2 linked regions of the Schizosaccharomyces pombe genome follow. The gene in region 1 interacts genetically with each later gene. Each region holds a gene or a part of one and is shown in the gene's direction. Other genes may lie near its edges. The genes, in order: hul5 and SPOM_SPAC977.15.

The links.
Region 2: mutations in hul5 (region 1) and SPOM_SPAC977.15 together harm fitness more than expected from each alone (negative genetic interaction), as found in Schizosaccharomyces pombe (one large-scale study listed by BioGRID).

Annotation. Positions count from the first base shown.
Region 1 is NC_003424.3:1,544,457-1,550,678, forward strand, and holds hul5 (ubiquitin-protein ligase E3), read left to right. Parts: upstream 1-1,805; 5' UTR 1,806-2,047; coding exon 2,048-5,031; intron 5,032-5,089; coding exon 5,090-5,146; intron 5,147-5,190; coding exon 5,191-5,239; 3' UTR 5,240-5,625; downstream 5,626-6,222. Other genes in the region: pabp (major poly(A) binding protein Pabp/Pab1), read left to right, coding at 1-370; SPOM_SPAC57A7.15C (uncharacterized protein), read right to left, coding at 892-1,152, 1,205-1,357; protein mug143, read left to right, coding at 5,677-6,042. UniProt on the Schizosaccharomyces pombe protein: Probable E3 ubiquitin-protein ligase which mediates ubiquitination and subsequent proteasomal degradation of target proteins.
Region 2 is NC_003424.3:60,916-64,576, forward strand, and holds SPOM_SPAC977.15 (dienelactone hydrolase family, implicated in cellular detoxification), read left to right. Parts: upstream 1-2,035; 5' UTR 2,036-2,073; coding exon 2,074-2,817; 3' UTR 2,818-2,947; downstream 2,948-3,661.

The DNA of each region.
Region 1 (6,222 bases):
TATGAACGCTCGCGGTCCCGTCCCCGCTCAAGGCCGTCCTATGATGATGCCTGGTTCCGTTCCTTCTGCTGGTCCTGCTGAAGCTGAAGCTGTTCCCGCAGTCCCTGGCATGCCTGAAAGATTCACGGCTGCTGATTTGGCTGCCGTTCCAGAGGAAAGCAGGAAGCAGGTCCTTGGTGAGCTTCTTTACCCTAAGGTTTTCGTTCGTGAGGAAAAACTCTCTGGTAAAATTACCGGTATGTTGTTGGAGATGCCTAATTCCGAGTTATTGGAGTTACTTGAGGATGACTCCGCTCTTAATGAAAGAGTCAACGAAGCTATTGGGGTTTTGCAAGAATTCGTTGATCAAGAGCCTGGCTTCACTGAGTAGTGAATGACATTTCTATGAAAGTTTTCACTATTGGAAGAAATAAGGGTTAAGCCTGTTGGAAATTTAGTATAGTTTATTTACTTTTATCTTGACGAATGGGTGTTTATTCGTTTCACAGGGATATTATTTTGCATTTTATGTTTTTTTTTCGAGGACCTTTGTTCCACTTAGCCTATAGTTTCTTGAAATGCAAAATCCGGTTGGATAATTTATATTGAATTGATATATTGCTTCACAGGCGAGTCGTTTTGTTTATTACTGTAAATCAGTAGAAATCTTTCAAGTTAAGATTAGATTTCAGTAGATTATTGAATGCTTTGCTTTTTTTGGGTTAATTTTAGATACTAATATCTATGGCGCTTTGAGTTTTGACAAATTTGATAATATTGTGTTTCATCATGTAGTTTGCTTTTGAAAACATGTACTTGTGGGAGAGCCAGTATTTATAGTCCAGTCATTTTTACTAGTCGGTACTTAAATAATAATGTCACAAATATTTGTAAATGTTCAACACGTTTTATTTATTCCACTAAAATGTAAACAAGGTTTTCACATTGAGTTTTTAAACGTTCAGATGACCAATGAGCATTCCAAACCAAGATATTAATATCTAGATGTTTTAGGAATGTGAGAATACTATCAGGGTCATCACACCGAAGAGCTTTAGAAGGATGAGAAACATAACTTTCTAATCGGGAGGTATGTTTTGAAAGCAAAGTAGAACGGGAAGCAAGGAAAAGATCGTAGTCACTCCATTTTTTAATATCCTCTTCACTAGTGGTCTAATAAAAGTTAATAATCAAATAATTAGCAAATTATGTTTAACATATTTACCTCATCCACTAGAATCATAACTTTCTTTCTTGATTTTGATTCACTTTTTGCTTCTTGGTCCCGAACCAGATCCTTAAATAGAACGTAAAGTGTTGTTCCTATTCCAATTGCAAGTGTTGCTTTCTGAAACCAACTCGTGGTGGAATAAAACATGAGGAATTAGGTAAAATTAAAAAAATTCGTTCCCTATTCTGGAAATGTAAAAAATTGATAAACAGTAACTATTTGTAACAACGTAGTAATTCCAATACACAGTGATAAAATGCCTTTAAATCAGATAATCGGTGCTGGATTTATAAATACCTGCTGAGAACTATTTTATAAAATAATTAGCTTTTCAAATTCTACAAACCAAACTGGTTCTTAAACATAAGCAGTTATTTATTTACAATGGAAAAAAAGGAACTTTGAACATGTAGGTGGAGGTGCCATGTATCAGTATTGACACGCAATCAAATTTTGAAGCATACTTCTTTTTTTATGATTGAGAAATTAAAACATCTCCTATGATCAATTTACTTTTCTCATCATAATGAATAGAGTACCATGGTTAACCCTTTCACATGGACGATATTTGCCTCCAACTTCAATTAATATAACCGTTACTCATGCGCTAAACCAGCAGTTCTTGTTTACCTAATCATCTCGAAAGTTCTTAAAACGCTATAATTTACTAAACGGTTAGATTTTAAACTTTTAATAATTCTATTTTCTCTAAGTCTTTCATAAAATCTTTGCCTTATTAGAGTGTAAGGCTGTTTGATTTTTATATTTGCTTTTTTACACTTGTGAGTTCTGTATTTGATACCTAAAAACCGCATTGATATAAGAAATTTTTGAAGAATGCCTTTAAGTTTTGAAGGAACGTTTAAAGCCAAAAGAAATGTTAATCTCGGGGGAAAACGTGTCTCCAACGATCGCGCTCAGTTGTTGCGAAAAGCAGCCATGGAGCGCAAAAATCGAGAAGAAGAACGAAAAGCAGAAAATAATTCTGTTGCCGTTCAATCCTTGTCTAGAGGTTTTTTAGCTAGGCGAAAATTTAAACAAGATTTCCGGGAGCGCTGGATATACAAATACACAAAATCAGGGCGTACATCTATCAGATTCAATACTTTGGAAGATATAAAATGCTCTATTTCTCTTCTTGTTTTATTTGCTGAGCCTGATATCGACTTGCCATTTGTTTCTCAAGTTGCGCATAATATACTGGTTTGGCTGGAAAATTTAATTCCTCTATCGAATGGAATGGATGATACACCAAAAAGCCACCTAAAAGTGAAAATATTAAAAGTACAAGAGACGTTATCCAACTCAAATGACTCCTGGCTATGGCAGAGGTTTTCATCTTTGCTACTAAATTGCTTAGTCAGTTCTATTAATTCACATAGGATAGAGGGTACTGATACATCTGCCGAAACATCTCTCCTTCATTGTTTGGCATACGTGGCGCCTTACCTTAAAAGTTCTGAATTATCTACGTATTATGACTCTGTTATGACTTTTTATGCTCAAATATACCCTAAACAAAATATGACTAATCTTGAAGATATTATGTCTCTATCTTTACTTACACCTGTCAGCTCTAAAACTGATGAGAATGCAAATAGCAGTTCGGCTTTTTTATTTCATGTCCTTGCGTCGGACTGTTTTAGCTCAATTGAAAACTGTATACCACCAGATCTAATAATTGATAAAGTTTTCTCTTCGTCTTTGCAATTATCCGAAGAAGCCTGCATTTCTTCTTTATTAAATTTGGGGATGATAAAAGTTTTCTCTTTAGCTGGAAACTGTCTTCATTTGTTGCACACGGAATACAAAAACAGTTCTTTATGGAAATTCTGCTCTTATATCTTAGATGCACTATATGTTTTCTCAGGAGAATCTGTAAATTCTCGAATCCAAGTGGTCAGTGATGTTGACGATGATGAAGACGATGAAAACGCATTTTCCCAAAATTATTATAGCCATCTTCAAATGGTTGCTAAACATTTTTCTAAAAATTACGCAAATCAATCTGGTATAGTTCAGCGATCGTTTGCAGAATGTATATCTTCTACTTTTATAACAAAAGCTTTCAAATTAGTGTCATCTAATACTTTACAAGCTATGTCACATTTTTATGCAACCATGATAAAACTTTTTCCATCCAACCGAACATCAATTCTTATGTATATATCCTTAGTAGAAACTAACGAAGGCTCATTGACTCGTTCTTTTTCACGTTTTTCTTGGGATATGTTTTCCGAATCGCCTGTTTATCAATTGTTCCATAAGAAGTTTGATGTTCAAAATGTCTTAAAAAATGATTCCGGCTACTGGTTTCAACTACAATTACTAATTGATGTTTACTCACGCATGCTTTTTACCATGATCGACGATGAGTTTCATAACGATAAGCAAAATCCGCTTTATCCAGTTATGGCTGAGTTTTGTACTGTTTTGAAAAATCTAGTTTTAGGTTTGTACTGGGATGTTCAAGCTGCTAAAGATGTTGACTGTAAATCTGTGGTTGATATTTCTCAATTAAGAGTCTCGTCAACTTCCCTTTTACAACAGTTATATAGGATAAATTCAAGAAAACAATTTCTTCCGGAAGATTTCTTTTTGATGAGTGAATATTTCAATTTGAATGAATTTGAAGCTAATGCACTACAAGAGTCAGAGTTGGCTTCACATGCTGAAGCGGAAATTAATATTACTTACAAATTCGATAACTTCAGCGAGTCCCGACCAAGGCTAAATATCCTAAATAACTGTTCTTTTTTCCTTCCCTTCCATTTTCGCATTCATTTGCTTCAGCAACTACTTCTTTTAGATAAACAAGCTAACGGTTATGCCCAGCCGTTTGGTCATCTAAAACATGCAGTTATTCGTCGAAATCGTATTTTCGATGATGGATTTGACGCTTTTTACAATTTTGGGAAGTTACTTAAAGGTCCTATTCGAATTACATTTGTAGATGAACATGGTGTTGTTGAAGAAGGTATCGATGGAGGTGGTCTTACCAAGGAGTTTTTAACAAGTATATGTAAAACTGTTTTTGACATTAATTATGGGCTTTTTAGTGAGACAAAGGCTCATTTGTTATATCCAAATACTCATGCATATGCTCAAGACGTTGAACGATTGCGCTGTTATGAATTTTTAGGGATGCTAATTGGAAAATGCATTTACGAAGGGATTCAGATTGATGCAGCGTTCGCATCTTTTTTTGTCGCTAAATGGCTTGGGCATCCAAGTTATTTTGACGATCTTACTAGCCTTGATCCAAACTTATATGAAGGATTGGTATTTCTTAAAAACTACGATGGAGACGTAGAAAATGATATGGCTCTCAATTTTACGGTTGTTCATGAAGAGTTTGGTGTTCGTAACGTAATTGACCTAATTCCAAATGGAAGCAACATTTCGGTTACGAATGAAAATCGTTTACAGTATATTCATTTGGTTTCCAATTATTATTTAAATGCAAGGCTATCTAGACAATGTCGTGCGTTTACCAACGGATTCACTCAAATTATCGATCCACACTGGTTAGCAATGTTTCATGAAAGTGAAATTCAAATACTAGTTGGTGGTGATCCTGTACCGATTGACATTGACGATTTACGCCGACATACCGTTTATGCTGGAGGCTACGAACCAAATTCACCTACTATTGTTTTATTTTGGGAAGTTTTACGAGAGTTCGAAGAAGAAGACAAAAGAAGCTTTGTTAAGTTTGTTACTAGCGTTGCTCGTCCACCAATTTTGGGATTTAAAGCGCTTATGCCTTCTTTCTGTATTCGTGTAAATGGGGAAGATGAAACACGATTACCAACTGCAAGGTAGGTTATGACTATTGTAGTCTGCATCTATAAGTTTTTACTAACGTATTTATTATAGTACTTGTGTAAACCTTTTAAAGCTGCCGATGTATAGTACAAAGCAAACGTTGAGAGAGTAAGTTTTTAAGCTTATTTTCATTGAATCTAACCAATGTTTAGTAAATTATTAACCGCAGTAAGGTCAGGTGTTGGTTTTGGCTTTAGTTAATCAACCTGATCTAAGAACCGTTCTGTCGAATATTTTTAAACTATTTCCTTTTATTTTCTTTATAATATAAAACGCTTTACTCTTTCTTTTTTCTGGCGAATTCTTTGTTGATGTCATTGGTGTTTGTTGAGTCTCTGTTTCAGTTTTGTCTATCAGGATTTAAAGTTATTTAGAATTTATAGTTTTACCATTTAAGAGTTATGATTTATAGATAAATGCAGTTCAATTTTTTTCGCGCGAATACAATGTATATATTTATGTTTACACTAAAACTGTTTAAAAGCATTTTCGCTTAATAACAAGCTTAAATTTCCATGACGTTGACATAATACTGACGTGTTGACGTTTTGAAGTGGCTCGAAAACCGCCTACCAATACCACCAACTACATACCTTAATTATTCAATACCTTAGAAGACAATAGCTTTGAACTTCACAATGATTAGATATTCCCTAAACGGTATTCGATTATTTGGCTCTCTTAATCTTTTCAATGCAACAAGAATATTACCAATTAGTTTGGGCAGAGCTTCCTATGCACATGCTAGGCTTTTCACCTCGAAAGTTGAGAAGTCAGGCACTGCAGAAGAGTCCGCTCTTCCTTCTGTCGATGAAGAGGAAGATAAATTGAATTCCTTACTTGGCAACATCAAAGTTAGAACCGCTCAAGAGGACGGTGTTTCCGTTGAGGAAGTACTAATGCATCATCCCGAATTGTTGCGCAATGCTCCTCATGCATTGCAACAATCGGTGAAGGAAATTCTTGCCTCGAAAGAAGTTGGGGATGCTTTTAAGAAGAATTAGGTCTTTGATGACTCTTTGTTAACACAAAGTGTTTGGTATCGAATTCCAAATCTGGTGTTAACATATTTGATTTACGTTCAACTGTGGAATGAAAGTTACGATGGATTTCATTCACGTTTATGATTAACCCCACTTTCCTTCATTAATAGGCTTTTCAAATGTTTAGTACTCTGGCTAATA
Region 2 (3,661 bases), 1.5 Mb from region 1:
TGGGCATTTCTAAGATTCACATAGAAGCTTATTACTTTTAAGCTAAGATGGATAATATTTTTAAATAAACATACGTTTTTCAAATGCTATGCGCCACGATAGTCAAACAAACAAGGATTTCGGTTGTTTTATTCTAATACATCTACATATATGTAAGCAACTGTTTGACTAGTAGAATAAATAAAAGGTTATGTTGTATCAATTTGTTCAATATTTCTGTGTAATGATTGAAATGTTCAAGTAGACGTTGAAACCCTCGTTTTCTTTTTTTACAATAAATCGTTAATTTAGTATATGAAGCATGCAAAAACAATAATATGTATAAATACATCGTCTTAAACTTAGACTCATTAAATATTCTTTTATTCACCATAATAAAGTGTTAGCGATCATAGCATAAGCAAATGTGTATAGATATTTCAAAGTGTGAGAAAAGTTGGAATATTACGGATATAATAACTATGATCTCAATAAACTTTGTTGGTAAACTGCCTATTCAAGAAGTTGTTGTGCATACTTTATAAAAAATTGTGCAGCATTCATATTGTATCTGCAAAGCATTTTTCTGTGTCACTGTTGCATCGAATAAATACTTCAAAGGAATAATCTCAATTTCATTATGCTTAATAACGAAATGTTTAAATCTGCTGAATTCACTGGAATTTAATATACTTCGTCTACTAAGAATCCAAATAAAAGTTCTTCATTAATGTTTGCTATTTAAGTGTGACTTAAATTTATTCATAAATTAATTAATAGAATAATTTCGTATTTAAGGTTCGGCTTATCTTGATTATTCTTATGCTTTTTTTAAATTTCTCATATAATAAGATCCGAAGAATAAATTCATAAATATTTCCTTCTATTAACTATTTTAGTTGCTTTACTTTTATTCATCCGGTTACTAATATGCACGCCTCCTCGAGTATTTTAAAACAGTTGAGGGCCTTGTTTATGGAGTAGATATAATATATTAAGAAATTATAATAATTTCAAAATTGAAATGATATACTTAAGTGTTCGTGCTTGGCAGAGTAATGGTCGAAAAAATAAATATTTTGAAAATTTTATAAAACGGTAGAAAATGATTTATTTCATTAAAGACTCTTTTTAAAAAAAAAATTATTCTTCATAATCATTAATAAACCAACGGTCAGTTACTTGTTAAGCAAATACATGTTAGATCTTCAGTTGCTTATTAAATTAATTTTTTTATTAATGAAAAAGATGTCTTTTACTTCGTCAATTTCTTCTACAAAAAAAAATAAATATCACTATCAAAGGGAAATCGCTTAAGGATATCACTGTTTACTCGTTTTTCCCTTTCATTTAATCATTTCTCAGAACGCAGTAATTTTTTTTGTCTTCCACTTACTTTCACTTCCAACGTTTGTACTTTTCGGGTTATCTTATTTCCCAAAGATACAGAAAAAACATACTACCGCAGATTTACAAAGCCATTAGCCGATTCTTTCCAAATCGATATTTTAGCTTCAGATTCAAAGGTTTTCCTTATTTATTGAACTTACTCAGTAGTATTCTAGAAAGTTATAAAATACCTTTCTTTATTTTTAAGAATTAAATAAATTAACTAAAGAATTAAGACATTTGAGAAAGTTAATGCATAATAATGTTCATATCCCATCAAGCTACATATGGATTGTCTTATTAAACTTATGTACAATTGCCATACGATACGAACAGTATATGAAAATCAATAGTTTTTCTTCGATGTTAAGTATATAAATAAATATTGGTCATGCTACAGATTCTTTATATTATATAAATAATAGCCCTTTTAAATTGGAAGCATTTCACAAGTTAGTAATAAACGTACTTTAATTACCAAAGCAAATTCATATACAGAATCTTCTGATTGCATGTTGGCTAAATTAAATTCATTTGTATATCTTTTATTCCTTAGTAACTTTTGGATATCTAGTTTATGGCCAACTCCGCGGAAAACGGAGCCCTCGGTTCCTCGGGTTTGTACCGACTATACTTTATATAATTTCAAAATGAGCACTAATTCAACGTAAATTCTACTCTATTTACTACATTCGAAGTAAAAAAATGCCTTGCTGCCCAACTAAAAGCGGTGCGGCCCCTACGAACCGTAATTACGAACTCCAAGGCGAGATGCTGAAAGACATTGGAGGGATGCAGACTTACTTCACTGGTAAGCGCTCAAGTAAAGTTGTTTTAATTGGATTTATGGATGTTTTCGGATTAAGTAAACAAATAAAGGAAGGAGCTGATCAGTTGGCAAATCACGAGCTTGCTATTTATCTTCCTGATTTTCTGAATGGTGAAACAGCCTCTATAGAAATGATAGATCCAAAAACGATTGAGCAAAAAGAAGCACGTAGTAAATTTATGGAGAAAATTTCTTCTCCACTACATTGGCCTAAATTAACAAAGGTCATAGAGGACATTGAAAGGATACATGGTCAAGATGTCAAAATAGGTGCTTATGGTTTTTGCTGGGGTGCCAAAGTATTGATTACATATCCTAATAAAGAAAGATTCTTGCGTATTGGATGTGCGCATCCATCTCTTCTTGATCCTGTAGACGCTAAACATGTTCATTGTCCAGTTTGCTTTCTATGTTCAAAGGACGAAGATCCTGAGGAAGTTGATGCTTGGAAGAAAAGTTTCGAAAACTCTCCATATTTTTCTGAATCGTATTTTGAGACTTTTGGAAAAATGCATCACGGATGGATGGCAGCTCGAGCCAACCTATCGGATCCTGAAAATCGAAAATATTTTGATTTAGGTTACCAAATCTTTTTAAAATTCTTTAAAGAACTTTTTTAAATAGTATTGGTGTCGCTTAGAGATTTTTGGATTAGTTAAGAATAAATATAGCACCTGTCGTTGACCGCCAACAACATTTGTTAATTTCATATTCAATAAAGTTTCGTTAAGTGATTATAACTACTGCAACTATTATCATTTTCAATTGAGAGTAATTATAGGATACAATTTCAAAAGTTTAATGCGGCCTAATTTATTTCCATATTCGTCATATACTACCTAACTAGAAATTTCTGAAATTACAAAAATTTTTATCAATCTTAAAAGAAAAAACTAGGCTGAATGCTTTATAAATTCATCCATTAGCTGCTTCAATAAAACGTACCTTTTTCCGAATTCGTACAAAGATTTACGGTCTAGTTTTATGGTTATAATTAACTAGCTGTTTCATAACACAGAACGAGACAACTTGAAAGTGTGCGGATCTCCTTAAGGAAACACTGAATTCATGCAAGATATTTTTTTTTGGGTTTTCTAGATTTCAAATTTCTTCATTAAAACAAACATAATAAAAAATTAATCGCTTACTTTATTTGAAGAAAAATTACATTTTAGACAAAATAGTTTGTCCAAAATGTTTATTGGATAATAGCGTTCTCTGTCAACACATTTCACGTAATTTTCCGTCTAGTATTCAGCAAACATCTACCAAGTGCTAAGAATCAGAAAGGTTGGCTAAATGATCAGTTTATGATCGCCGACCGAGTAACATGTCAGTCTTTTGAAAAAAACCATACAGTGCATGTGATTGTCTACTTCGTTTTCGCTTTACAGATCAGATCTACATAGCATTTCGGCAGGTAAATTCGTTTAACAATTTCTGCATGTAATTCTCTTTTTTTGA